4 linked regions of the Tamandua tetradactyla genome follow. Each later gene encodes a partner of the first gene's protein in a complex. Links are inferred from orthologs where the notes say so. Each region holds a gene or a part of one and is shown on either strand. Other genes may lie near its edges.

The links.
Region 2: THOC1 (region 1) and SARNP share a complex: the UniProt entries of both Homo sapiens proteins name them as parts of the transcription/export (TREX) complex. The link is inferred for Tamandua tetradactyla from reciprocal best matches to the Homo sapiens genes THOC1 and SARNP.
Region 3: the proteins of THOC1 (region 1) and THOC5 are in contact, whole or in part, in a cryo-EM structure (PDB 7APK), measured with the Homo sapiens proteins. The link is inferred for Tamandua tetradactyla from reciprocal best matches to the Homo sapiens genes THOC1 and THOC5. Residues at the interface, in NP_005122.2 of Homo sapiens: Glu60, Arg145, Arg146, Leu147, Ser148, Ser150, Gln151, Lys285, Met286, Leu289, Val296, Tyr297, Phe298, Leu302, Ser304, Leu307, Leu310, Gln311, Ser313, Asp314; in NP_001002877.1 of Homo sapiens: Tyr52, Arg113, Lys120, Asp124, His127, Leu128, Gln131, Asn132, Leu134, Tyr135, Glu136, Met138, His139, Thr145, Lys146, Glu149.
Region 4: THOC1 (region 1) and THOC3 share a complex: the UniProt entries of both Homo sapiens proteins name them as parts of the transcription/export (TREX) complex. The link is inferred for Tamandua tetradactyla from reciprocal best matches to the Homo sapiens genes THOC1 and THOC3.

What each region holds. Positions count from the first base shown.
Region 1 is NC_135344.1:63,220,708-63,228,312, reverse strand, and holds the start of THOC1 (THO complex subunit 1), read left to right. Parts: upstream 1-4,603; 5' UTR 4,604-4,655; coding exon 4,656-4,709; intron 4,710-6,459; coding exon 6,460-6,533; intron 6,534-6,624; coding exon 6,625-6,685; intron 6,686-7,605. UniProt on the Homo sapiens protein: Component of the THO subcomplex of the TREX complex which is thought to couple mRNA transcription, processing and nuclear export, and which specifically associates with spliced mRNA and not with unspliced pre-mRNA.
Region 2 is NC_135333.1:122,802,554-122,810,132, forward strand, and holds the start of SARNP (SAP domain-containing ribonucleoprotein), read right to left. Parts: upstream 3,014-7,579; 5' UTR 2,810-3,013; coding exon 2,774-2,809; intron 1-2,773. Other genes in the region: ORMDL2 (ORM1-like protein 2), read left to right, coding at 3,072-3,205, 4,305-4,479, 4,674-4,825, 5,418-5,553. UniProt on the Homo sapiens protein: Binds both single-stranded and double-stranded DNA with higher affinity for the single-stranded form. Specifically binds to scaffold/matrix attachment region DNA. Also binds single-stranded RNA. Enhances RNA unwinding activity of DDX39A.
Region 3 is NC_135331.1:33,488,306-33,495,348, reverse strand, and holds the start of THOC5 (THO complex subunit 5), read right to left. Parts: upstream 3,004-7,043; 5' UTR 2,900-3,003; intron 2,894-2,899; exon of another isoform or gene 2,683-2,893; intron 499-2,682; 5' UTR 460-498; coding exon 364-459; intron 1-363. Other genes in the region: NIPSNAP1 (protein NipSnap homolog 1), read right to left, coding at 4,706-4,770, 6,020-6,103. UniProt on the Homo sapiens protein: Component of the THO subcomplex of the TREX complex which is thought to couple mRNA transcription, processing and nuclear export, and which specifically associates with spliced mRNA and not with unspliced pre-mRNA.
Region 4 is NC_135346.1:57,496,543-57,504,013, reverse strand, and holds the start of THOC3 (THO complex subunit 3), read left to right. Parts: upstream 1-4,452; 5' UTR 4,453-4,507; coding exon 4,508-4,774; intron 4,775-5,412; coding exon 5,413-5,569; intron 5,570-6,947; coding exon 6,948-7,152; intron 7,153-7,471. UniProt on the Homo sapiens protein: Component of the THO subcomplex of the TREX complex which is thought to couple mRNA transcription, processing and nuclear export, and which specifically associates with spliced mRNA and not with unspliced pre-mRNA.

The sequences.
Region 1 (7,605 bases):
TCAGCAGTCATACTCATTTGTTAAATCCTATTTTCTCTGTAATAATTCCTCCTTCTCCTTTGATTCTTCTCCTAAGCTATAGGGATCTTTGGGGAATGCCCATTCTAATTTTCTTACATTGAGAAGGGGTGTCAAAAATAAAAGATGGGGGATGTAACTAGTCTTGGAGATTGGGCCCTCTGAGTTTCAGGATTTATCTGGCCTAGGAACCCTCTGGAGGTTATAAGTTTCAAGAAAGTAAAACTAGTGCATGAAACTTTATTTACAGAGTCTCAGTTAGAGCCCTAGGTGTTCTTAAGAGTTTACAGGAATGATGTTGGTTGGGATTTGGCAAGCCAAGGCAATTAGCAATATCTATCTGAAGCTTGCATAAGAGTAGTTCCCAGAATAGCCTCTTGACTCTATTTGAACTCTCTTAGCCATTGAAACTTTATTTTGTTACACTTCTTTTTCCTTTTGGTCAAGAAGGTGTTGATCCCCTGGTCACAGGACCAGTCCCATCCCTGGGAGTCATGCCTCATGTTGTAAGGGAGGAGTGTACTGATTTTAATTGCAGAGTAGTACTTAGAGAGAAAGAAGCCATATCTAAGCAACAAAAGATGTTTCCTGGCTGCAACTCTAAGGCCTTATTTTAGGTAGTCTTAGCTTCTCCACTACAGAAATAAGCTTCATAAGGGCCAGCCTCAAAATCAAGGGCTTGGCTTGTTTTCTTGAGAGTCCCCAATATTTGTCAGGAGTTTCCCAGGTGGGAAAATGTAATAATTTCATGTTTTTTCTTAGGTCCCTCAGGGGACTCTACAAATACTCTTTAATTATCAGCCCCTGTGCTGGTTTGAAAGGATGTATGTCCCCTAGAAAAGCCATGTTTTAATTTAAATCCCATTTCATAAAGGCAGAATAATCCCTATACAATATTGTATGTTTGAATCTGTAATCAGATCATCTCCCTGGAGGTGTGATTAAATCAAGAGTGGTTATTAAGATGGATTAGATGACAACATGTCTCCACCCATTTGGGTGAGTCTTAATAAGCTTCTGGAGTTCTATAAAAGAGGAAACATTTTGGCGAAAGGAGATTGGGAGAGAGCAGAGAATGCTGCAGCATATGAAGCATGAAGTCCATCAGCCAGCGCTTTGGAGATGAAGAAGAAAAACTCCTCCTGGTGAGCTTCATGAAACAGGAAGCCAGGAGAGAAAGCTAGCAGATGATGCCATGCTAGCCATGTGCCCTTCCAGCCAAGAGAGAAACCATGACTGTGTTTACCATGTGCCTTCTCACTTGAGAAAGAAACCCTGAACTTCATTGGCCTTCTTGAACCAAGGTATCTTTCCCTGGATGCCTTTGATTGGACATATCTATAGACTTGTCTTAATTTGGACATCTTCTCGGCCTCAGCAGTGTATATTAGAAACTTATTAAATTCCCCTTTTTAAAAGCCATTCTGTTGCTGGTATATTGCATTCCAGCAGCTAGCAAACTAGAACAGCACCCCATAGTCTGGGATGTACCCAGGTATTACATTATATCATACAGAATTACAAGGCCTCATTCTCATTCTGGGCACCATGTGTTCGGGTTGTTTAAATGAGCTATAGAGACAAGTTCAATTAGATTGTGTGTTACATAAACTTTAGGTTCTAGATACAATAAACCTGCCTTTGGTCTCATATGGTAGGTGAAGCTCTAGAGTACATACACTATCATCTTTTCCCTGTATTCTCATTTACCTTAGTTCTAGCCAGATCAGCTTTGTTTTTTGTCTCTAATTGAAGCCTGATCTCTTTATCAGTTACTGTTTTTGTATGCAGCAATGTTGACTTTCAGAGTTGCAGAACTCCAGCTCTGAGTCTTAGGTGTCACAAAAGTACTCAAAGTTTCAGGGAAACACCAGCTTATGCATATATAGTTCAGCAGTTCAAAGTTTAGAAATATACTTACAACTTCAGACTAAGTGTGGCTGCTAAATGAGCTTACAATATAGGCTCTAATTTTCTTATATTTTCTGAAAAAGACCATAGCATAATTGTTCTTTTGTTTCTGGCTTATTCTGCACAACACACTATCTCCAAGGTTCACTGTTTGTTGCATACCTCATGTTTGATGGACATCTTTCTTTTTTTTCACTGACAAGCCAAAACAACACACAAGCACGAACATTCTTAACATACAAATGTTCCATACATGGTATACAATCAATGGCTCACAATATTATCACATAGTAATATATTCATCACCATGATCATTTTTTAGAACATTTCCATCACTCCAGAAAAACAAATAAAAAGAAAAAATCTCATATATATACCATACCCTTTACTCCTCCCTCTCATTGACCACTAGTATTTCCAATCTACCCAATATATTTTAACCTTTGTTTCCCCTATTTTGATAGATATCTTTTAAAAATGTATTACCTACTTCCTTGCCTTGTTGAATACAACCCTATCTCAAGGGCTAAAAACCATACTGATGTCTATGAGATTCTTTGTCCTTCCTAAGCTATCTAGCCTCAGATTGCTGCTGCTTTTTCTACTGATTTTCCCGTTTTTGGTATTGCTTCAATTATTAGCAACAAAGCAGCTCATTCCTCTCCTTCCCCTCAAATATCCTGCTGGCCATAACTTGTTTAAAAAACAGTAAAAGATATTTTAAAATTTAGAACATTCTTTGGTCTCAAATATTAATAGTCTGATTCCAAATAGACTTTTCAACCCTATTTCTGTTCAGACCCCAATGCTAAAGTCAGAATAAACAACTACCATTCAAGTGCTTTCTCTGTTCCACTCCTCTGCTAAAGCCGTTCTTTCCACTTGGAATAACTTTCCTATTTGCTCCTTCCCACTCATACCTATTAAAATCCTTCAAGGTCCCACTCATGTACTATCTTCCCCATGAAGGTATTTTGACCACTTCCAGTGGTAGTCACCTCTCCTTTGATCTCTTATAATGGCCATTATCTCAACTACTCAGGATAGAAATTATATGCTGTAGTTATTTGGGTTTGTTTTATGTCAACCAAACTAAGACCTCCACAAAACAGGAATTAAGCTGTTTTATAATATATTGTGTTCTTTCAACAAATTTGTCCACTATGTGCAAAGTACCCAAGAAATATCTGAACGAACAAACACAATTCTGTCATTTGGCTTTGGATGAATGAGCCAATAAACTCCAGCTCTTCTTGTGTTTTTATTTTTCGTTTTGTATGCTATAAGGCAGGGTCACATTTCATTCTTTCTCCATGTGAGGATCCTGTCATTACAGCACCATTTGTTGAATTTTTTGGTTTTCTTTCTTTCTTTGCTTGCTTGTTTGTTTTTCAGGAAGTACACGGGCTGGGAATCAAACCTGGGTCTCCCGCTTTGCAGGCGAGAATTCTACCACTGAACTACCCTTCCACCCCATGTTTGGATTCTTGTGAAAACTAATTTTATTTACTTCTGAGATCGTTGTATTCCAGACAGTTAATAATCATCTAGATTATAATAATCATACTACATCACCATCAGATTAATAAAATATATTTCTGGATTGTATCTTTTTTTTTTTTCCCAGCTTGGAAATTTAAGTTATTCAATCAAACCTGAATGATTCTGTTGGTTTTTAAAACAGCCTAGTTTTTAAAAATGCTCCAGGTAGCCATTATTGTTCACAATCCCCATTTAGTAAGTTATCTTTTCGTTAGTTCCCTGTATTCTTGTTAGTTGTCAATGAACAGTACAAGGTTCAGTGTGCCTAGCTTTCTTCATTTATGTACATGTGGACGGGAATAAGAACCGGCAGGAAGTTTCCCGCGTTTGGATCCGTGCTTCCTTCCCCACAGCATAACTCCAACCCAGACAGTTATTGTCATTTGGCTTCTCATTGGTCAAGGTTCTTCGTGAAAAGAGGCAAGGGAGAAAACGGCTGAGACCAGGTTTTGCATGGGTCGCCTCCGCCCTTCACGGAGCGCCATCCAATTTCCCCACCAGCGCCGTGTACTCCACTCCTCCTGCGTCTTTCTCTTCCAGTGCATGTGCCAGCAAAGTCAACTGGGTTCCAAGGGTAAAGACGTTATAGTACTCATATCATTTGACAATTTATAATCCACACTTGCGCTTATTTCCTTCCAGCTTTTCGACAGCTCTGTGAGGTAGGCGTTATTCTCATTTCACAGAAGAGGGACCGCTCATGAGCTACTGGACTGCCGATATTAAATATGGACTCCGTCACCACTCCCAATATTAAATTTCAGGGACAGTAACCACGGCCGGAAGGTCCACAGTAACCTCCAAGCCTTCCCCTGCCTGAAACTTCCCCAGATAACCGCCCCACCTCGGTGGCGCGTCCAGGCCATGAAATGCCACCATCTACCCGCACGCAGGTGCGAGGCACGGCCTTTCTGCAGCCGGAAGCGGGGAGTTTAAGGGGAAAGGCCGCCCACATCCCCTAACCCCAAGGTTCCTGCCCAAGAACCCGGATTGGAACCGTTTCTGCTGACTCAGGCTTCCAACGCCCACCTGAACTCAGTCATCACGGCGGCTCCCAGCGCCTCCAGCCCGCCCCTTCGCTCGCAGGCCGCTCTAGCCGCGCGCGAAGCCGCGTTCTCGTTGCTCCCAAGCTGACGTCATCGGCGGGCGCCGCGGCGAGGTGGCGGGCACGCGCCCCCGGAAAGATGTCTCCGACGCCGCCGCTTTTCAGTTTGCCCGAAGCGCGGACGCGGTTTACGGTGAGCCTCAGAGGAGGGAGGCTGGGGGGCCTGACCCGGCGTTGCTGTTTACTCTTCTTCCCTTCAGAGTACTTGATTTTCCTCCCGGGCTAAAGAGAATTAGAAGTGGGTACACCGCTGCACTGCTCCCGGCCCCATCGGGCGCGGGGGTGTGGGTGTGGGGACAGGCACGCTACTTGGCTCTCCCGCTTCCTCTGCTGTCAGCTCTCGCCGGCTCCTGGGCAGGTGCCACGACCCTATGCTCTGAGCGGCTCTGCGCGGTGCATGGAGAGCTCATCCTCAGGACGCCTCCTGTCTTGGCCAGCTCTTCCTAATAGCTCGCTTAGCGGGACAGGTGTCTCCAGAACTGGAGGAGTTGCTGCTGAGGGACAAGGGTGGGGGTGGATTCAGTCGGAGAACCAGCTCCTGTCCGTCCTCGTAAGCTGCCAGGTGTTTGTACCGCCCACCCATTTTACCGTTTTACCCCTCCGTATCTCACTCCTTTGAGGTAGGGTGATTGTACTCTGAATGGGAAAAGGCAAAGAGAGATCTGCTTGGGATTACCAGATGTCATTCCAGCCTTGCACATTGGGGAAGGATAGTTTGAGGGGTTGGAAAACATCTTTCAGAGCGCTTTCATGTTGACCGACTTAACTCTTACAATAGCACTGTGAGGTAGGCTGTTTTTTATAACTCTTGTTATAGATATAGAAATTCACCCGCAGAAGTTGTGATTTTTCTTCACAGGTTTTTCTGGTTCCAGACCCAGTATTTTTTTATGTTGCCCATCACATCCCCTAGTATAAGGAAGCACAGTAGTAAGTTATTTGTATTCTTCTTTAGCCATATGCGCCGATATTTGAAGGCACGATTTAACTAACTCGGATATTTCATTATGTTTAGGTAGTTATAGGGATGCCAGAATGAAAATTCTGTGAAAGAAAATTGATTCTTTGTCGTCAGTTTTCTTGTTTGTGTGGTTTTTCTCCATAGAATGTAGGGTTTTTTGTTTTTTGTTTTTTGTTTGTTTGGTGTCTGTGTGTGTTTTAACCGACTGGTTAATGTCATCAGAACTCTTTTCCTTGAGTGCATTTTTCTGTAATCCCTAGTGCTCTGAAATTCTGTTAAGAGTAACTGTTAGGAAGATCACAAGAATCCTGGAAGGGACCATTTAATTTGAGATCATCTAGTTCAGTGCTTCTTAAGTTTTAATGTGCAGTGGAATCACCTGGAGATCTTGTTAAATACAGATTCTGGGTCTGGCATGTGGTCTGAGATTCTTCATTTCTAACAGGGTCTCAAATGATACCATTGCTGCTGATGGTAGTAAGAATTTACTGGTGAGGAAAATGAACACAGAGAGACTAAGGGATACGCTCAAGATTACACAGCTGATTAGTGACAGAACCAGGAATGGAAGTCTCTAGTATAAATCTAACTCTTCTGGGGTAACAGGATGAAAAGTCAAAGTTAAAACATGAAAAGAAGGAGCCATTTGAAGATTTTTTTAAAAAGCGAAATACTATCATGAAGGTGATATTTAAAGGGGTGGTGAAAGGGGAAACCTGGAGTGAGAGAAAGGTCTTGCTAGGAAGCTCTTGCCAGGTTTAAAGTGGCATTTGGGATAGGGTTTCCTGAAAGACTGATGGGTGTTTTTTACCCCGGTATTAACATTTTTTAGTGCAAAAGACATACTAAGTTATATCAATGAATGATTTTCGGTAAATTGGAAACAAAATTTTTCCACTTTTTGCCGTTTTAATTTTTCTAGAAGTCTACCAGAGAAGCCTTGAACAACAAAAATATCAAGCCATTGTTAAATACCTTCAGCCAATTACCTGGCAGGTAAGTCAGATATTCATGAGAGGTGCTTGGCTGAATCTATATACTTAACCTGAACTGTTTTAAAACTGAGGTTGCCTTTTGTTTTTAATAGTGAAAATGAAAAAAAATGTACTCTTGACCAAGCTTTCAGAGGAATTCTAGAAGAAGAAATTGTAAGTATGTTTTTCTTTTATTCACTGTTAAAATTATACCAGCAAATTAATAAACTATGTGTTATTTAAAAAATTGCCTTTATTTTAGAATAGATATTTAAGCATGATTATTTTTTCTAGAGGATGCTTGCTACTTTGTGAAACTTGACTCAGTCGTAGTATAGGAGTTATGTAACACTTAAGATTTTGACAACACAGATGCATTTAAGAATTTGGTTTAATACATGAGGCAGAGCCCTCTCCAAGTGAGTAGAAGGAAAGTTGATCTGAGGTTTTACTAAACAAGAACTAGAGGTTTGAGGTGGGTCCTCTCACTTTGCTGTATAAACAGCAACGTATGCTATAGTAGCGTGAAAGGTTCTAGTCCAAGGACATTCAGAGTGGGATCTGGGATTCCGTGCCCTCATTTTCATATGGCATCTTCCTCGTTAGTTTGCATACATAAATAGTTAGAGCCTATCCAGCTTCAGTAGAGGAATTTAATCTAAACACCACTGGTGGTGCGCCACAATGAAAGAAAAGGAAAAGTTTCAACAGTTTATTCTTGATTTAGTGAAGGTTGGTCCCTAAAAGTTAAAATCCCTTTTAGCAGTCACAGTGTCCCTCCCTCTGACAATTCTGGATCATACTTATTTTTTCTTCTTTTTCAAACTTAATTGTTTAGAGGCATTGGACAAGTTACTTTGCTTTTCTGTGCTTCAGTTTCATTTGTAAGGGGAGATAACATTCTTTCAAGGTTGTTGTGTTAAAGAAAACTTGTAAACACTCAGTGGATACTGGTTTTTATAATTATAAAACCCAAACACTGCCTCCCTTCTATTAAAACCTGTTTTGGGGTGGGCAGTGGTGGCATGGTGGCAGAGTTCTGGCCTGCCATGCTGGAGAGCCGGGTTCAATTCCCAGTGCCTGCCCATGCAAAC
Region 2 (7,579 bases), on another chromosome or scaffold:
CCCTTTCTTCCTTCCTTCCTTCCTTCTCTCTGTCTTTCCTTTAAAAAAAAAAAAAAAAAAAAGTATAATAGTGACGTTTATCTTTTAAGGCTATTGTGAGAACTCAACCAATCAATTATCATATGTAAACAGCTTCCATCAATACTGTTAATGAACACAGATATTATGAGGAAACAAATATGGCCAATGTGGTTGGGCTGTGAGAAACGAAGCTGGAGAGACCAATAGGGATATCATAAAAAGTTTTATGCAGAGTAGTGACTATTATACTAAACATCTAACTGATGAAATCGCTCCCCCTGCAGACTCCATTCTCCATACTACCAACAGAAAATAAACTGGTCACATCAGGCTCTTCCTTTCAAATTTCCAAAGACTAGCCCCTTCTGCCTACACGACAAAAGCCATATGCCCTACACGACTTGGTAAGACCCTTTATAGTATCACTTACTCAACCTTTATAGGCACATAGTTCACCTACTTTTCCTTCCAACCTCTAACCACTCATAATGGGTACATTATGCTTCAATGATACAAATGACTCACTGTTTTCCCCTCTGTAAGAACCCTTTTTTCCACATTTGACTGGAAATCTGGTACTGTTACAGTTTAAAAGACATTTTCATCCACAATTCTTTCTCTTTCTAGTTGTGTTAAAATGACCACATTTCTGTAAAATCTTCAGACTTCAGAAGTCAGCAGTCAATATGGACTTTCACATCAATTCGAACAGATAATATATATTTTTTCTTTCTGTTTCAAAGTTTCTTCCCTTCCTTTGAGGTCCCATGCTAAAGTCCCTTATAAAAATGGAGACTTTCTTTAAAAAGAGAAAACCTGAAGTCAAAGCAAAAGTCAGGATTATTCCATCAAAATTACCAGAAAAACCACACATTAACTAACCTGGAAGTCAGAATTAAAGGTATGGGTTCTTAACCAGAGGTCCATGGACTCCTTAGGGCTACAAAGTAGTTTTATGAAGCCCCTCAATTGCATGCAAAATACGTGTACATGCCTTTTTCTGGGGAAAGGGTCCATACCTTTCATCAGAGTTTCAAAGATATCTGTGACCTCCAAAAGGTTAAGAAGTGCTCTAGAGAAAAAGCAAAGACAAGCAAATGTGATTAAAAGAGTGAGTCCTTTTCAGGCTGTCGGGAGTGCCTCAAGTTCTCTTAAATTATAATGCCTGAAATCAGATGAGAGGACATTTTGTAAAAGTGACTTAACCAAACAAATGCAAATTTAATACAGATCTAACAGATTTGTCATCCATAAAAGCAAGTCACAGGGGAAGCTAGTAATTTACTCCAGGGATTTCAAAAATGGGATAAATAAGAAGAAAATACTAGATCTTCAATTCATATTTCCTTTTTAGCCCATTCATTCAAAAATTCTCTTTAATGTATATTTTATAACATACATAACAATACAGTAGTATCTATGTAATTTATATATGAATAAGTATACACATAATAGCAATGACTGCTCAATTTTTTTCTATTCATCATGATAAATATTAGAACACTGATATAATTTACATGTTTCAGTACCACCAACTTAACAGTAACTCCAGAACAACAAAAAAACTCACTATAAAATTTAGAATCCAAGGTTAAAAATACATCAGCTTTCAAAGAAAGGCTAACTAGTGTCAACTAACATGTGATTAAAGAAGTTCTCTCCCTATTCTTCTCCCCCTTAAACTACTGGTCATCAAGCTCTGAAGGATCAGTTTTCAGCTGTGGATTAAATCAGCCTGGTTTGTCCAAAAGACCCAAGATTAAGTGACCAAAACATGTGATGAGAAAACTATCTGTGAAGCCACAACCGGCCAACTAATAAAGCCACTCTCTTAATTCACCCTAAAAGAACCTACTTTTTCTTCCAGGTAAATGATAATCTAAGTGTGAAAAAGCTATCAAGATTCCCAAAAGACACATCTTGATACAGACACAGAACTTGACACAGAACTTGAAATAGGTTCTGTGATTCGAAGTGCCACCAAATAGTGACACCAAGAGATGCAGGATCTAACGGTGATATGAAATGAGACAAAAACAACCCCAGCCTTGGAGTTGTTTTTCTACAGGGCTGCTATTGTAAGTTCTCTCGGAGGAAGCATGTATGTGTATGCTGTCGGGGGGGTGGGGTGGGGGGTGGGAGGGTGTAAGTGAGACAACTCGAAAAACTTATAAATCTAAGGTGTCAGTGCACTGACTAACTCTTAAACCCTCCTGAAGCCCAAGCCTCAACCCGGAGGCCTAAGGCCTTAGGGTTCAAAGTTCACTCAAGGGGGCGTAAACCCACTAGAAAAAGGAGTGGAAGCATTTTCTGGATCACATTTGGGACTCAGAAATAAACAAAGGTGCCTAGCTAACAGGGAAATCTCAGCTATAGACAACAGACAGGGAAACATCAACCCAAGGAAGAAAAAGGGGTCCTGGTTCCGGCAAGAGGAGATGAGAAGAAAAACCCTGACGTAATGGGGCGCTGACAAGAGACGAGAAAGGGAGGTGATGGATGGTACAGCCAAGAAAGCCAGGGCGCCGAAATAACAGATAAAGATAACAGTAAAACCGCAAGGAGAAATGGGAAATTAGGGAAGGCGTAGCGGGGAAGAAGGGAAGCACAAAAGAAAAACCAGCTAACTACGGAACGAGCCGGAAAACGAAAAAGAAAAGACTGCAGAGAGAACGAGAAGAAGGCACAGCCCACCGTGCAAAACTCAGCTGCTAGAAATGTCCAACCCAACCATTGCCCCGCTTCGCAGTACCTTCAGCTTATGCAGCTCCACCGTCTCTGCCGCCATCTTGTTACCCCCTCCACTCGCTGCCTCCGCCTCCAGGAGCTCCCGCCTAGGCGCAGAACCATGACCGACCAATCGCTGTCACTCTTACTTCCACCCCACACCATCAGCTCTTCCCATTAGTTAATAGCTGACGTCGCTCTAGCTCCCTCCTCAACTATCCCCACCTCTCTCAAAAGGTGGGACTGGGAAAAGGACCGGTTCTGCACCCTCCAAATGACGGAAATGGCGACCAATTGTGTGTTCCATTGCACACCGCCAACCAATGGGTGGTGGCAGCGCTAATTCTGTTCCACCAATAAGAAGAATGCAAATAGGCGGAGGACTGCTGCTTCCTGGAGACCAGAGGTGTGGAAGCGAGCGCCGTGCACAGGCCGGACGGGCCACTGAAGCTGGCAGGTAGGCGTTATCGGGAGACTGGAAAGAGGGTACTGAGTAAAAATGGAGAGACAAAAGGAAAGTGGCGGAGGTGCTCTGAAGGGTTCCCTAAGGGGAATCGATTAATAATAGAGGGAAGCCAGGAAGAGCATGGGACGGGGTCAATATTAGGATTTAGGGAATTTTAGATAGAGGGGTGGCAGGCAAGGGCCACTTCCTAACCAGTCGTCAGCTTTACTTGCACTGTTTTAGAGCTGAGTTCAGAGGACCAGAACCGACCCTAGAGTAGGGGCTAGGGCTCCATGCCTCGAGGTATTGAACTTGGGTCCCTTTCTAGTCCTTTAGAAGCCCAGGGGGAAATTCCTGCAGCACCCCACGCTTGAGAGAAGGAATGAGGATGTTTGTTCCTTACGTGCAAAGGAAATGAGACAGGGTGGACAAGCCCCAGAGGAGAAGATGGGAACTAGGAGTAGCTTTACCTCCTCAGCCCTCCTTGATTGAATCCCAGGACCCTCTGGGAAATCTAGATTTGTAACTTCTCTTGATTTATTAACTTTTTCAGGATAATAAAGTGAGATACTCCTAAGTGTCTCCTTTTCCTTGAAGCAGGTACCCCAAGCCTAGGCATGATACTTCACATTAAGTTGAACTGTGAGAATCAGAAAAAATACAATAATATGTCTCTAAAATGTAGGGTGAGCTTCTTGCCTTTGAAAATTTTCCCCAAGACTATAGTTTTCCCTTTGTGCATGATTGGAAAGTTCTTTCATTCTCAGTGGAGTTCAGGGGGGTTTGGCTATTCAGGAAACAATTGGGAAACAAGCTCAAAGGAGCTTAGAGGAGGGCGGGCCGCGGTGGCTCAGCGGGCAAAGTGCTTGCCTGCTATGCCGGAGGACCTCGGTTCGATTCCCGGCCCTAGCCCATGTAACGAAAACGGAGAAACAAAATACAATAAAACAAGAAAATGTTTAAAAGATGTTTCCCTTTCTTCCTCTCTTCCTTCCTTCTATCCTTCCTTCCTTCTCTCTGTCTTTCCTTTAAAAAAAAAAAAAAAAAAAAAAAAAAAAGGAGCTTAGAGGAAATTGAACTATATTTCTGCCTGATTCTCCAACTGTAATAGGATGAATGTGGGGGTGGCACACAGTGAAGTAAATCCCAACACTCGAGTGATGAATAGCCGTGGCATCTGGCTGGCCTACATCATCTTGGTAGGACTGTTGCATGTAGTTCTACTCAGCATCCCCTTCTTCAGCATTCCTGTGGTCTGGACCCTGACCAATGTCATTCATAACTTGGTAAGCACTAAACCACACTCTTACACCCACCCCAAGCTTTCCCCAACAAAAATAAATCAATTAATAAATAATAAAATTCCCAATTATTTGGGGATTTTTGCCTTCCTTTAGGAATCAACCATTTACTACCTTAGCAGAATTCTTGAGTTGAAGGACTACTTTCTATTCCCCTCACCCTGTCCCTTCTCTCCTAGGCTATGTATGTCTTTCTACATACGGTGAAAGGTACACCCTTTGAGACCCCTGACCAAGGAAAGGCACGGCTCCTGACACACTGGGAGCAGATGGACTATGGGCTCCAGTTTACCTCTTCCCGCAAGTTCCTTAGCATCTCTCCTATTATACTGTGAGTTTGGAAAGGAGGGGTAATGGGCAATGCTGAATTGGAAAGCACTTTAAAAAGCCAGCTACAAAAACCCACAGGGAGGCATTAAAGCAGACTACCTATCTGAAATATCATGGTATACTAGTTACTAGGGAAAGAAGTAAAAAGTAGAAGCTAGTAATTAAGCATTCCTTGCTGCCTCCCTTGATGATAGGAGAATGGAAAGGGACTGAAAAATGATGAAACACCAAATAAAATCAAATGACTTTACACTTCCAAACAGAAGTGAATAGAGACAGGACTGATGTGAATCTATGAAAACTGTGGGGACTGGAAACAAATTAAGACTCTTAACATTCATATAGGCTGAAAAAGCTTCAGCTGTCATTTGCCACCTGTCATTAACAATGAAGAAACACATAATCTGATTTATAATCTCCAGTTAAAGGTGCTATCTTAAGATCTCTCCAACCCCAAAATAAATAGTGTTGCTATGGCTGTAATGTTTTCAGATGTCCTAAGACTATATGCAGTAGAACTGGTAATTTAAAATATAAAAGGAAAGTCACTGAAAAGACATTAATATGAATTCATTCTTTTTCTTCTCTCCCAGCTACCTCCTGGCCAGCTTCTACACCAAGTATGATGCTGCTCACTTCTTCATCAACACAGCCTCGCTACTCAGTGTTCTGCTGCCAAAGTTGCCCCAATTCCACGGGGTTCGTCTCTTTGGGATCAACAAATATTGAGAGAGGGGACTGGGAACAGCTCTGTAGGCATGGAGAAGACATTGGAACAAGGGCTGTTAACATCCTTCCTCCTTCTTTATATTATCTTCATCTTGAAAGACTGAGAACTGTACAACCTTTCCCAAACTCCCAGGAAGAGAAGAGATTGGAAAATGGGGCTCCCTGGCCCAACCCTGCTAGGAGTAGGTTTCTTTGAATCAGCAAAGGCAGGTGAGACAAGGGCCAAATCTCCACAGCAGGAACCATGTATGTGCAGCTTATTTGGTGATTAAATTTTCCATATCTTCCACATACACACCCCTTTTCCAGCTCTGTTTTGCTGTGTATTTTACTTATAATAAAGATATTTTTTTTCAGATATGGCTACAATTGGTTGGCAGGAAAAGTAGGGAAAGAGAGAATGATGACTTACTATATTAACTTCTCTAAGACTACTTTTTATCCTCTCTCCCGTGGTTCAATAGGGGGTGCCCTTCACTCTCGGCTAACTATGGAAAGTACTCAAATGAGAAAAAGAACTACAGTTAAATGGACAAAGAAGAGAGGGAAAATACAGGTTGCCAGTTATATATTTATAGAAAGATAATCCCCTGGCTTTAAATAGATATGTACATACAAATATGAACAAACTTAAAAAATACAAACCCTAAGATCATAAGGGGGCTGCTGGGAACCCCCTTATTTTTCCCCCTCACCCAAGGGCAGAGGGGTATGAGTCTGCTTTTAAAAAATGATTAATTTTGGCCATCCCTGCAGCAACAGCAAGCCTGTAATTAGGTGATTATACACAAAGGTGAAAGTCAGTGGATGGAAGAACTCAGAGTTCTCTCTCTCTGAACTATACATCTCCTATAATTTGGGCTACATGCTTTCTTGTTCTGTCTTTTAACTAGTCTATAGGGATGAGGGTGGGGGAATTCACTCTTGAAATGGGTCAAGAAATAAGATAAACTCAGTTTAAAAAGAGAAAAAGAAAAAAAGTGTCATCTGCTCTAAAAGCAAAAGACAGGACAAAGGCATACAGACCCCAGGGAAATAACCAGTTCCCACACCACTATAGGATATATTGTCCAGTCAAGGTTGAGGCCCTAGGTTCTTTGCTTTTAGCCACCTCCTATTTCTTTGGTATTGCCAGAAGACAAGATTCAGTTCCTGGGTGTTGAGGGAAGAGAGCAAGTGGTTCAGGGACTTCCTACAAGTACTAAGTAAACAATTTGAGCTTAAACTTTTCCCTTTTTTAAATATTTAAAAATAAACAAATCAAACTCCATCCTGTGCTGTACACAGCCCTTTGACTCCCTGACACTGATTTGAGGAAAGAAGAGAAGGGGTGTCAGCGTTGGAAGGGCCTCCTCACTTTCTTCCGCCGCTTCGATTTCGCGTCTCCCTTAGGTACTGTGCTGTTAGGCTTGGAAGGAGCAGTGGCCCCAGGGCCAGGCTGAGATGCTGCAAAGAAGTTTCCATTGGACATTTGGCCTGGTGGTACTTGAAAGATCCGGTTCAAAAAATCCTGAAGGTCAGCAGGAGGGGCATATGGGGTGGCTCTAAAAGAGAAATAAGAAATAATGAAGCAAGAGATGTTGCTAGAGTCATTTGGTTACCTGAGTTAACAAGACTGAGTTCCTAAACTTCCTGCTAGATGTCCTAAACAATATGTCATCTGAAACCATATTCACAACTAGAATAGTGGATGGGTGATTGAAGAGAAATACCACCTACCTCTGACGCCCACTGGTGCCTGGGATCCGGGAACCAAATGAAATGTGATAGGGGACTCTATGGGTATCTGGGGAGATTCCCACACGCTGGCATCCAGCCCACTCTGCAAACATATGATATAATTAGCCAAAACATTAGGTGAAAGCAAATATGAGATCAGGAAGTATGGGTCAATACTTCTAGAGGACAGAAGTGTACCTGTGATATCATACACCTTTCCATCCATCAGTGCAAAGTAGGTGATCTTCAGGCCCAACATGCTTGACTCTGCCCAAAAGTCTCCTTCCTCTGCAGGATGCAGCCTATT
Region 3 (7,043 bases), on another chromosome or scaffold:
TGGGCATGTGGTTCTGGTATCTTGGGAGTAGACCCTGGCAGGCCACATCTCCAGGGCTCCAGCGGTGTGCAATAGACTGTCTTCAGACCAGGAAAGTTGAAGACACACACTGCACTGATGTGAACAGGCAAGAATCACGTCTACTACAGGCTTGTCAGTCAGTACTTAGGATGCCACAATTAAAGTGGGTAGGGATTCTCCAGGTTTTATAGAGCCAAGGGAATTCCAGTCACCTGGTCAAGCAGAGGCCACTGGGAGGTTGACACCTGGTAGGTGCGATCCTGGGCTGCTACAGACTCACAGCCAGGGGCCTGGCCATAAGCTGCAATTTCTCAGTCGCTGGGCAATACTGGTTGATCTTACCTGCTCTGCCTCAGATCGATTGCGCTTCCCCTCAGCTGGGGCTCCATCACTTCGGATTACTTTGGGCTTCCGTTTTTTGCTCGATTCTGATGACATGGTTGTTCAGTGGGTTCAGCAGTAAACAGTAGAGACCTCCTAAGAGGAAAAAGCTTTTGAGATTTCCTGCAGTCAGGATATTGAAGTCTAACTAGCAGTTCTGCCACGTATAGACTTGATAACTCAAAAAAAGCCACTTAAACCTCCTAAAGTCCTAAAACTCAGTTTATCTGAAAAAAGGAGAATCATCTTTTAGCCTGTCCAAAATGAACTCTTCTTCTCCACTTCCACCTCCTTTAAAGTCATCATAACACACTCTGCTGTCCAAACTATCCTCGGAATCATCTTTAGCTGCTTCCTTTGCTCCATACTCACATTCTGCTCACACTCTCCAAAGAAGCATCTCTCAACCAAGTGTTCACACTGAGATGGCAGGTACCATGTGTTTTCTCCAACTCAACACCCTAGGCCAGGCCCTTGAATTCCTCTGCAAGACCGCTGTAACAGCCTCCAGTCTTGCCCAACCACTGCTGTCTAAACTCCTTTAAAAAAAAAAAAACCCAATCTGATACCTGATCTCTGTTTCAAAACCTTTGCTGGCCCTTTATAATGCACCAGATGAAATCCACATTCCCTGGCCTGGCATAAAGACCCTTTATGATCTGTCTCCAACCCACCTTCCCAAACACATTTCTTTCATCCTATTTCTATACCTTTCCCCACCACCTTCCCCAATTTCTATTCCTGGCTGCAAGTGCATGTACCACTCCTGGCTCCCCAAACACTCCATATTATTTCCCCTGCTTGAAATCACCTTTTTTCTTTTCTTCCTCTCTCAAGACTAAGCAATGCTTCCTTGCTCTAGGAAATCATTCGAGTCTCCCCAAGGCGCTCCCTCCTTTAGGTACTGTGCACATGCTATTACTGAACACTTTACCTGCCCTCCCCACCTAGACTGTGAGCTCTGTCCAATCCTCCATGAGTCTGGCAATGTGTTCCACAGAAAGTAGCTGAATTGTATCCAGACTTCTCGACCTGGAAGCATACAAGCCCATTCCCATTCCCTATTGACTGATCACTGTGTGCTAAGCCTTGATTTAAGCTCTTTCTGGCTATGGTCTCATTTGAGCCTCACAACAAACTCTTCAAGATAAGAACTAGTATTATCCCCATTCTACAGATGAGAAAACTGGAGCTCAGAAAGGTGAGTGACTTGCTCAAGATCACACAGCTAGTAAATGATAAAGCGTGAGTTCATCAATGCCCTATCAGTGTTCTTGACAATCATATGGCTGTGCCTTCCAGTTCAACAACTCCCTGCTTGACGCTAAAATTGAAAAGAATTAAACCTGGTATTTCATGGGGCTGACAAAGCACCCTCACATCTGCCAGCTCTCCTGGTTGCCACCAGAGGTCCAAGGTGGGCAGCACTGTCCCTCTGACCCCAATCCATTTATCAACCAACATCTGCTGAAGGAGCCAATAGCACATCATGACAGAGTCAGAGAACCCTGAGTTGCAGTGTCTAATGTATTATTTTCTGGGTACAAATCCCAGGACAAGTCGCCTTTTTTCTGGGTCTATTTCCTCAGTAATCAAATGAGAATAGCAGTGCCTACCTCAGGGGATTTTTGCTGGCATTAACACAGAGATGCTGAAGATGATCTGGGACTGGGGATAAGATTTTAGAAGGTGCACGGGTGATCTTTAAAAATGACAACTATCTAAGGAGAAAGTTAACCAACCCCCTTTTCAATCCTTTTTTGAATCTTCTGATTGTTTTCAAGGAGAGCAGCTCAGTCCCCTGGTGTGTCTTTAACATCTACTAATGTTAACACTTCTTTGTAAAGGGTTCTGCCTCAGGGCCTTAAATAGACAATGAAATCTGGCCAGAATTTATTAACAAGGACCTGTTATCATCATATTAAGTATATTGTTTTTGTCATTTTCTCCTACATATGACAAACGAAAGCAGTTTTCCATTCAACATAAAGACTTAAAGTTTCCTTTAAAAGTAAACAAGTTTAAAAAGTGACTCAATTTAAAATCTTTAGTCAGTAGTCGTACAGACAGATGATATACTGATTTGACAGACCCCACAAAGATAGGATCCGAAAGGCCTAAGTGTGGGATACCTAACTTTGATGACACGTAAAGAGCGCCCAGCACACGAAAGCGCCCAATAAACGTGAGCGGTTACCGTTACCATCACCACCACCACCACCACCACCACCACCACCATCTCCATCGTCAACACAGTCATTTCGAGGTTACACCGGGGACCTTGGAGATGCCGCAGCGAACACCCTCCAGATGAGCAAAACTGAGCGCTGGACACGAGCTGCCGCGAACCCCGGACAGTGAAGGTGGAGATCCAAATCGGATCCGGTAAGGGGACGCCATTCGGGTGGTCTGCGCCTTAGTCCTGGAGCACTCTGTCCCGTGCTAGGCCCCTCGCCCGGCCTCACCACCCTGTCACCCGCCCTGGTCCCCTCCTCACCGCACAGCGATGCGAACGAGTCCCGATCTACCCACTTCCGGCGGCGCACCATAGAGAAGCGGAAGGAAGGAAGGAGCGGCGGGTCAGACGCGCGGCGCGGAGGCCGGAAGTGAGGAGTCGAGAGCAGGTGCCTGTGGGCGGTCTGGGATGGTCAGCCCTTCAACGACTCTCTAAGACCAGGAAACGGAGGCTCTAAGGGGGACTCCTATGCATATTGTTTATGCATCGTTCCCCGGCGCCTGAAGCAGTCCCCCAGCAACTAGTGGGCGCTCCACAATTGTCTGATTGACTTGTCACATGCTGAAAATCACACAAGGTGGAAGCGCCAAGATTTCGAGTTCAGTTATTTGCCTCCCAGACCTGGTTTTCTAACCACTGTCATCTTCAGTGCTCCAAAGCACAAGGCTCTGGAAACATCCCACATCAGAAAGAGCAGGGGGTCAGAAAGGGCCCGAACCCCGTTTTACACTCGTTTTTTTCCCAATACAAGTTTCCCTATTTTAGACCTGATTTGCCCAGGACGGTCATTTAGAGCGTTTCCTAGTTCTGGCATGCGTTATACAAAAAGGATGTAAGATTTTTCGTGTAATCCTACTTACCTGGAGCTAGGAACATTCTAGTCCTAATCCCTAGCTGTACAGGGTCAATTTCTTCTGCCCCCGGGGAAAGCAGAAAATGCCCTGCCTAGGAGTGGCTCAGGGAACACAAAACCCTCCAGGGGACATATCAGCTAGGAGGGAATGAGAAACGTGCCGAAGTTCCTTGCAGATGAAAAAAAGACACCAAGGTTTATAGTAAATATTTAATTGGTTCCACCAGAAACTGTAGCACAAGTTTTCTTCGAAGGGAGGCAGAATCAAGCTACCCAGGGGTTCATACCCACTTCACGCACCAGGTGGCCCAGCAGAATGAGAAGATGAAGGGAGGGAGAAGGAATTCAAATGGTGGAATTACAGGTTCTGCCTTATCCCTTTGCCTACACAGAAGGGCTGAAGTTACCCATTCAAGTTCTCAACTTTATTACTTAAAGAAAAACGAATGGGCCTCTCCCCACTCACCTCGTATTTGTAATCTCTCCCCAAGTGGTGTTCTGATACCTGTTTTCTTGTTCCAATTCTGGATTCCACATCCAAATTCCAAATTTTATGATGCAAACCTAAGTTCTGAATTCTAAGTTCTGCTTTTTGGGGGTCCCTGTTTCACATCTGTCTCCCACTCCCAAATCCTTCAGGCCCCAATCTCTTCTCCTAGCCTTCCTGGGTGTTAAGTCCTGACCTCTTCCTGATCTTGCGGATCTGAGGGTTTTCAGCAGCTCTAAGCTTGTCCCCAGACTTGACTCATACTGTCCAGCATGTGGGTGGCCCATTAAGGCCAAGGAATTGCTGAGTGACTGGTCTGGTTCTCAGCACCTTCCTTCCCAACTTACCTCTAACCCCCAGACACTAACTTTTGTATGACTAAAGCTAAACTGAAGATTCCTGTGCTGATGACCAGGGGCTGGGAGTCTTAAGATGAGGAATCTTGGGGGAAGAGGTGGGAAGACATGAAAGGCTGCTGCTCTTCCCTCAGGAAAATTGGAAACTGCTTCTAGCAGGAGGGGAAGGATGAGGGCAGATGGCAGGTGGAGTCTGTGCAGAGCTGCCAGTCCACAGGCCCCAATATCCTTCGGTTCCTCCTCGCCTGAGTTGAGCACCAGCCCCAGAGAGCCCCCCAGATCTGAGAAGAAACCAAAGTTCAGGACCAGAAGCTCCACTGTCCATGGTTGTCCAGAGGGAGAAGGGGAAGGAGGCAGAGGTTGTGGCAGCATCACTGAAGAGGCGAGATCTTCAGGGGGATCATGATCCGAGACTCCATGTGCCGCACCAGGGGGACTGCAGAGAGAGAGAGGCAGAGGTCTTGGAAGGGGACTGAGATGAGCCAACCCCCGCCCCTAACTGACCTCTGGCGGGGGGAGGGGAAGGCCCTGGAAGGGGCTAAGCTTCTCCTGGAAGAATCCATGGAGATAGCCAGATCTCCCAAATTGTGGGAAAGGAGAGACTCCGGTGGTGATGAGATGAACACTTTTCATAATTAAATATTTATTTTTCTGTGTATAGGAAACAAAATAACTAGCAGAGTAAAATGTGATTTTGCAGATATTACTGTTGAGGGCAAAGGTAGTCAAAGAATGAAGTAGGGGGGAAAATACCAAGAAAAAATTGTAGTGGTGGTAGTATGCCTATAGGGCAAAAGCTGTTGAGTGTCTGTGAGTGTCCTTGAGTGGTTGAAGTTTGAAAACACACAGATTTAATCCAAAGGCCTCATTTTCAGTTAGGGAGGCTATAGCCCTGAGGCTCAGGAATAGCCCAGGGTCACCCAGGGAGTCAGACTCTTTCCCCTTGCTCAGACCTTCTCAAATTTTAACGTGTAGGCAAATCACCCACAGTTCTTATGAAAGCGCTGATTTTGATTCAGTAAGTCTGGGGAGCCTGAGATGCCACATTTCTAACAAGCCCCTCCAGGAGATGTGATACTGTTAGTCGGGAATTGCACTTTCAGTAGCGAGGTTCCAGCTAATTCCTCCAGCAGACACATCTCCCCTACACCAGTTAGTATGTCCGTGAGCTTAAATGTAAGCTCCCCAAGGGTAGAGGCAGGGTCCTGTTCATTTCTATACACCCTGCTCACTCACTGCAGCCCCTGGCACAAAGTGAGGGCTCAATCAACACCTACTGACTCCAGGTAGTCCGAAGGGGTCCCCGCCAAAGTGGCACACACCTGGAGCCGAAAATGACAGGCCCCATTTGCTGTGTGCTTCCTGTGCCTGACCCTGAGAGAGGCACCATCACCATCTTACAGATGAAAACAGCCTTAGCGAAGTTAAAAACTGTACCCGAGGTCACAGTGGGTGCTCAGATACTCCATGTCGAGGGAAGGACTGCTGGTGGAATGGAACACTCACCTACAACTGCCTACATCACATGTGCCTCCAGGATAAAAACTTACTAGCTCATTGTCTTGAAAGTAAGCTCCCCATCACTGGAGGTAATCAAGCCAGGCTAGGCCTCCTTGGAAAGAGGATTTCATCTTCCTGGAAGATGACCTCCAAGAGCCTCGCAGACCCCCAGAAGCAGCCCTTACCTGTGTAGTAGACATTTTGATCCCAGCCTCTCTTCCTCCAGGCAGCGTTTCGAGTCTCCTCCCGAGACTGCAGGTCTTTATAGGCTGTGAGAAAGGCATGCACTCATTCACTGATCCCATACCTAGCCCAAGGCCCTCCTCCCACTGTCTCAAACCCTGCCTGCCATCGCTTCCACCCCACGCACCTCAGGTTGATAGCAAAACACTGTCACAATCTCATCCAGCCCATACATATGCTGACAACTACTAAATTTATATCTCCAACCCCGCTCTCTCCTGTGGGTTCCAGACCCATATATCCAATGCCCATTTGACATTTCCACTTGGATGTCCACCCAGCATCTCAAACGTAACACTCCTGAGGGTCAAAATTGTATTCCTTACCCTCCAACTCGCTCCTGCCTACACACCCAACCCACCCCAGTCTCCTACTGTCCTTATAACTGCTCAAGCAGGAGCCTAGGAAGGCTTCTGAAATCTTCTTCTATGACCCAAGACAATTCATCTCCATGTCCCACTGGTTCTACCTCTAGATGAATGAATCTGTGGACTTCTCATTATCCTCACTGCCTCTGTCTTGGGTCAGGCCACCATCCCCCCTTGCTTGGACTTATGTTCCTCTCTCTTGCTCCCCTATAAACCATTCTCCACACGGCAGCCCAAGGTATTATATCAGAACATAAATCAGGTCATGTTGCTGCCACTTAAAACACTTCAGCAGCCTCTGTTGCATTTAGAATAAATTCCAGTTCCTCCCCACGGCCTGCCAGGCCCAGAATGATCTGACCCCTTCCCCCCTCTCCTATTCCATCTCCCTCCACCCTGCCCCCCTCTGTCCATACTAGCCTTTCTTCTGCTCCTCAAAACCCTGAAGGCCTTTCCCTGCTGCGGGGCCTTTGCATGTGCTGGTTCCCTCCACTTGGAATGCCCTTCCCCAGCAATTCATGGCAGGCTCCTACTTGTCTCCTTTAGTCCTAGCCTTGTGTTTGACTCCCTCAGAGAGGCTCTCCTGGCTTACCCAAGT
Region 4 (7,471 bases), on another chromosome or scaffold:
ACTCCATTTTTGGTACCTTATATGTCTCTTCCTTTGGTTGATCTTAACTTATATCCTTTCCCTCTAATAATTGTAACCATGAGGACAGTTCCGTGTACTCAACAAGTTCTATGAATCCATCTAGTGAATTGTTCAACATTGGGTGGTGTGGGGAATCTCCTGAACTTGCACGTGGTGTCCACAGTGAAGGCAGCCTTGTGTTGACTGTGATTTCTCTAACTTGGCAGTCACCCTAACTTTCTAACAGTCACATCTAAGTTTGAGTCTTTGCTCTGTCAAATACCAGTTATGTGGCCTAGAGCAGGGCATTTTACCTCTTTGTCCTTTAGTCTCCTTACCTGTGATAGGAAGGTATAAATCCCCAGCGGATGTAGGAAACCGTTGTAAGCCAGCATATGAAAAAGATTCCTGAAAAAGAAGGGTAAGGAGGGAAACCTGGACATGAAAGAGACTCCTACCCCAAGATTTCAGTGACTGCAGTGGTATTCTCTGAAGTATAAAAAGCTTTGTAGTCTCCAAGGATTTCTGGTTGCAATAGAGTAGAGAAAGGAAGAGGGTAAAGAAAGGACCTCATTTTTTAAGGCCCTTCTAAGAGCCACATGCTTTTTATGTGGACTCATTGAGTTTTCAGAACTCTGTGACACCCCCACCCCCACCCATGTGGCTAATAGAAGTGTAGACTGTCAGAACCTGTTTATAGGTGTTTTGGCAATATCTAGCCAATTAAAGTGCATATGTGCACAATGAAGTTTGTATATAGATATTCACTGCAATATTGTTTGAAAAGCAAATTAATAGATGCTAAATGTCCATTATGGGAATCAGTTAAGTAAACCATGATACATCCATATCATTAAAGACTGCATCCAGTGAGAAGAATTTAGCAGCTATGCATATACCAATAAGGAATGGTTTTATATATACATACATATGTATGCGTGTGTGTGTGTAATGATTATGTATACTAGGAATGGTATATCAAAAGCAAGTTATGTAAAGAATTCTACACACATCTACCTACCTCCTCCAAGGTGCTTGCTTACACATACACTATCTCTGGAAGGCCACCCAAGATATTTAAACATATTTGCTTTACAGAAGGGGAATTTGGGAACAAGGGAGAGAGAGAGATTTACTTTTTACACTGCTCCCTTTTGTGCTTTTTCCATTTGTTACCAAGTGCATGTTACCTTTATAAAACCAAAAGCATGTGGCTCTTAGAAGGGCCTTAATAAATGAGGTCCCTTTCTTTACCCTCTTCCTTTCTCTACTCCATTGCAACCAGAAATCCTTGGAGACTACAAAGCTTTTTACACTTCAGAGAATACCAATGCAGTCACTGAAATCTTGGGGTAGGAGTCTCTTTCATGTCCAGGATTTGGAAGGAGGTGGGCAGAACTCCTGAGCTATCCTGCCACCTTGCCTTGCCTCTGCCAGGGTCATGAAGTTTTTCTCTGTGGTGAGGGAGGGCAAGTGGACCACTGCCAACGCTGAGGGAGCCATGGTGATGCCAGCCCAGCTTCTCCTCTCCCTGCCAGCCCCGACTTCAGCTGCTCAGGCTGCTGGAGCCAGAGCACAGCCTGGGCTGCTTGAGAAGCTATCTGGAGGACAAGGATGAGGAGCTAGCAAAGGAAGAGGAGGAGGAGAGATAAGCCGCGCTTATCGCTGAGGCTGGAGGGATGCCAACTGGACTGGGAGGCTGAGCAGGTGCTCTTGATTATCTTCTCTGGGCTGACCCCACACATCTTGTGTTCCATTTGTGAAGGTTTCTTAACAGACGCAATTATGTCACAAAATGTCTTCATATGTTTTGTGAAAGCTGCAATGTAAGACATTTTTACTATAGCAACAGATTCTAAAATGCAACATCATCACAACCTCTTTATAACATACGGTGGACAGTTACCAGATATAGCTTACAAATTAGTGGTCCATCCAGAGGAAAGAGATGAAAAAGCAAATGCATGATTTCTATAAGGCCTGGAAGTACCTAAATCTGCTGCTCCACATCCAAAACCTTCAAGTAAGGGAAGATCTAAGAAAATCCTGGAATCAGTGTTTTAGATTCTACCTGAATTTGATATTGTCTTTATTACTGGAGTTTACTGGTCTAATGAATGCACAGGACAGTTTAAACATTTAGAAAATAAATGTGCCCAAGTTTCAGAACTTGAAACTAACTATTGGGCATGCAAAAAATATTCCTCAGAAGAAAAGTGGGTCTTGGTCCAGCTTGTCAAGTAGCTGTCACCTGCCGTGGTCACTTGTTGGAGCAGTACCAGACTCCAAGGCAAATCTGACATGTGATAGATGATGCAGTTGTTCAAGGTGGTCTGCTTGTCCTTCACTATGGTCTTGTTTTTCTTTTCTGAAGATAACTTGAAGATTTTAGGAATATTATGAGGAGAGAAACAAAGCAAGGAAGCCTCTGAAATACTGCATTTCACCAAAGATTTATTTGATGTTATTACTATCAGTTCATGCTGTTTGAATTAAAACATCAATTTTCAGCACCAAGAACCAGAGTATTTGTAAGTGCAACTTGGAATTAGGGCAGCCATCTATTTTTACAAGAGACTGTATATAAAAAGCATCCATAGCTCAGGGAACACGTTCCAAAACATTTAATAATAATAATAATAAAAAAAAACCTTGTCCTTTCAAATACTTTGACACTGATTTTGCTTCCTCATCTCTGAGGCAAATGAGTTACTGCTTTCTTCATCGAGTCATGTCTTTTTCAAGTTGGTGGTTGGAGTTCTCAGGGATGGCATCAGTTCATCACTCATCCTTTCAGAAAAGAACTATGTTTCTGAACTGAAGATACAAAGTCTGTCTTTGTTAAACTACATTTGTGTTCTCAGACAAAGATAAGAATTATGATCCACTTTTGCATATCGCCATCATAGTTTGAATATATACATACAGTAGTAAAATGTACATAGCATGGAATTTTCCATTTTATCCATTTTTAAGGGTACGAGTCAGTGGTATTAATTGCATTTACAATCCCGTGCAAGCATTACTACTGTCTATTTCCAGAATTCTACATCATCTCAAACAGAAACTCAGCACCCATTGAGCAATAACTCCCCACATTTCATTGCCCCCGAGACCCTAATGACCTTGTTTTTTAAAAAAATCCAGGCAACACTATTAAAGAGATGCTAATTTAAATTTAAAAGGGATGAATTAACATCATTCTGTGTGAAGAATGTGGGGTTTGTGGCCTGTACCATAATCCCTCAGTGTAATAAGATTTCCCTACTATATCTTACAACAAAGTGTGCCTCCTTTTTATTCTTTGTCTCATTAACATTCATTTTATTTGAATACATAGTGGTCATTGATACCTTGTAATGGCACTACTTCTGAGAGTAATAGCAAATTTCAGGTGAATCTGAGAAGTTTACAGAATACTTATTCATTGTTTCCTCGTTAAGTCAGTTAAATGCTATTTTCCCATTATTTAATCAGTGGTATAAAGGATAAAGGTGTTTGTAAGCACACTCACTTGCATGCAAAAGACATCAGTTTTAAGCACTATTTTGCTTAAATTTAGCATGGCAACGTGCTCTAAAGGAAATATTCTGTAGACGTTGTTTCACAGCCAAATTTCCAACTCTGTATAGAAATGATTACAAAATTGGACAAGTATTGGCAACTGTTTTGTAAAGAAGTTGAGTCAGGTACATCTTTTTAAATTTAAATAAAATTTGTTTTAACCTACAAAAATTGTTCTTTAAGCTTTTTAGAGATAATTGTAGATTCACTAAAGACGTGTTTTAAATCAAATTTCCATTTGCTTCCTCACCACCGAAAACTTCCCGCACCCACAACCCTCCTCTAGGGCCTTGATGAGGGTTGGCAGCTCACCATCTCCGTCCAGCAAGCAGCCGCGGGACAGCTAGTCTAAGGGAGGGGTGCCGACAGGGAAACGAGTGGATGGGGTGGGGGGCCCCGGGTGGACATTTACTTTTCACTTCTATATCCGTCATAATCAAGTGTATGTTGTATCTTTTAAAACAAAGGATTTGTTTTTAAACAAATCGTCAGGTTCCTCCTCAAGACTTCTCCCCTCCCTCCGCATAACTGGAGACCTTTTCCCGAGTCAACGCACTGGCGGGTCTTTCTCTGAGCCTTTTGGTCTAAAGGGAGAGGGTGAAATTGGGAACAATGCTAGAAAAAAAAGGTATTTTATTTATGGGGAAACGGGTTTAGAAGGGTAGGTTTGGCTCCCTCCCTCGATTAAATAGGGATTCATATATAACTACCAAGGAGTAGGGGAGGAGGACGATAAAGCCCCTAAAATCCTCTGAAGATTGTAAGGTAAACGTGAGGAAGACTCGCCTGTATTTGAAAGCGCAAAGGCGCGCATGCGCTGCATGTCGGGATTTGCAGCCTCTTACGAGACGGCCCTAATGCGGCTGCGCAGAGGCCTTCTGGCTTCCGGGCGCATGCGTACGGCGTCGGCGGCGTCCGCGTTGTAGTCCTCAGGGATGTCGGCATGGCTGTCCCTGCGGCCACTATGGGCCCCTCGGCCCTGGGCCAAAGCGGCCCCGGCTCGCTGGCCCCCTGGTGCTCAGTGACCAGCGGCCCGTCGCGTTACGTGCTTGGGATGCAGGAACTGTTCCGGGGCCACAGCAAGACGCGCGAGTTCCCGGCGCACAGCGCCAAGGTGCACTCGGTGGCTTGGAGCTGCGACGGGCGCCGCCTGGCCTCGGGGTCCTTCGACAAGACGGCCAGCGTTTTCTTGCTGGAGAAGGACCGGTTGGTGAGCTTCCAGGGCCCGGCCTAGGCCAGGAGAGGGGCTGTGGTGGGAAGGGAGGTGTGATGGCGAGGAAAAGGGTGAAAGGGAGGGTGGCGTGAGGAGGGGCGAGGGAAGAGAGGGGGTGTGGAGGGAGTGTGATAGTGAGGAAGGAATGTGTGCTGAGTGGATGGGTGCAGGTGGGGAGGGGGATGAGGACGTGATGAGGGGAGGACTGGGGTTAAGTGGTGTTCGTGATGAGGACTGGATAGGGGCTGCAGTGGTAGGGTGGCGGGGTTTGTCACTGGCGGTGAGGTGGACCTCTATGAAAGTGATAGGGCGTCCTGGGGAAATGAGCAGGTGCGCTGCGGGCTTTGGAGATGGAACAAGGATGGAAAGCATGAAAGAAGGAGGAAGGCTAGGGATGGCAAAACGGTAAGAACATTTTGTGTAACCCATCCTCAAAAAAGTTCAGAGTAATTGAGGAGTAGGGAAGGGGAATATTGAGAAGAGTTTTTGAAGAAAAGGCTGGGAAGAATTGGATTCCTTTTAGTTATCCAGATCCTTTTTGGTTGCAAGATAGCATGGATTGAAGAAGATTTAGAAGTTACACGTGGAGGGCAGGTACATCCATGTGAAGTGACATCTGAATTCTATTCTTTCAGGTTAAAGAAAACAATTATCGAGGACATGGGGATAGTGTGGACCAGCTTTGTTGGCATCCAAGTAATCCCGACCTCTTTGTCACTGCATCTGGGGATAAAACCATCCGCATTTGGGATGTGAGGACTACAAAATGCATCGCCACTGTGAACACTAAAGGTGACAGTTGAGAGGGAACAGTTGGGAGATAAACTACTTTTAATCATTCAACAAGTATTTACTGAACAGCTCCTTGGTGCCTGGCTCTGTGCTTGATGTGGAACATCCTGAGCTGAATAAGAGAAAGGCACATTCTCCAGCTCTAAGAATCTCATGCCTTGTGTGAAGAGACGTATGTGTTGCAAAGCTAACATAATATAAAGTGTTCTTCTCGTAATGGAAATGTCTATAAAATGGCTACTCAGAATAGACATGCTTAAGACTGCTTAAGACAGGAAAGGCCTTACAGAACTTAAGCTGACAGAGTATTCATAGGAATTTAGTGGTCAGGGTACAGTGGGAGAGGAAGTTATAGGGAGGGGGCATGGGAGAAGCAGTTTTAGGAGGAAATAGCATGTGCAAAGGTATGGAGAATTTGGGAAAGTATTGATAGTTTAGAATGGCTGGAACTTATGTTGTCTTGGTGACCTAGGAGAAAATGACCAGAAAGTTGTACAGTGCAGTTACAGGCTCTGTTCTTCATCAGACACTGTCCTGTGAACCTTGAGACCATTTATTATATTTTACTGGCTTTAAGATGTCTGGTTATAGGATGCACCGATATGTTATATACCCTTAAGAAAGCTGTCAGGTAACCATGATACACCCAAAATTATGGGATGAACCCTAATGTATTTTAAAATGCATCATAGATATTACAATTTGAACAAATAGGCATCTTAGAATCTGTGAGGTTGATTAACTTTTTAATTGATGTGCTCATTGGAGTTTGTTAATAAGAGTTATACCTGAAGGTGAAATGGTTCAGTACTTTCCTGAAGTATACAGCTGGTGGTGCATGAAGGATTTAGGTGGTATATGGAATAACATTAAAATAAGGTTGTGTATGTATTTTAATATCTGTTAGAAGAAAATAGCCATTCGTAGAGTTTATTGCTAAAAATGAAGCTAAATTTGTTTAAGTAAAAAAAATTCTGTTGTCATTTTCAAAAACAATATTGAGTAAAGAAAAGTATAGCTATTAATACATGGATAAGATAAAAATTGTGAAGGTGGCATGTGAATGAAAAGTTTGGGAAAAGCTGGTATAAGAGAGAATAAGGGGCTTTGTGATCAAACCTGGGTTTAGAACTTGATTCTCTCACTTAATGCTTTGACTCTTTGGTTAGTCTCTCTTATCTTTCATTTGTTCATCTGTAAAATGAGTATAATATAGTATACCTTTGTGAGGACCAAATGAGGAAATCCCCTTCCCCTGACTAGGACATCAGTGAATGAACCTCTGAAGGACAGCTGTGGTCTTCTTTCTAGAATAGCAAAATAATCTGGAGGATTATGGACGAACAGGTTATCATGCTGATTATATCTGGCTTCCCAGGAGAGAACATTAACATCTGTTGGAGTCCTGATGGACAGACCATTGCTGTAGGCAACAAGGATGATGTGGTGACTTTCATTGATGCCAAGACACATCGTTCTAAAGCAGAGGAGCAGTTCAAGTTTGAGGTCAATGAAATCTCCTGGAACAATGACAATAACATGTTCTTTCTGACAAATGGCAATGGTTGTATCAACATCCTCAGGTGAGGGAATTCTAACTGAGGGGATTGTCATGCCTTCTATTTTTTAACTTTTTTTAATGAGAGAAGTAGAGGGTTTAATGACATAGTGCATAAAATAAAGGGTTCCCATTATCACCCTTTATTAATACCTTGCGTTAATTTGGTGTATTTTAAAAAATTGATGAAAGCACATATTTATAATTATATTATTAACTGTAGTCCATGGTTTACAGGTTCATTGTTAGTGTTGTATAGTCCCATGGAATTAAAAAAAAATTTTTTTATGATAACATACAATCTGGAATTTCCCCTTTTAACCACTTGCAAATATATAATTCAG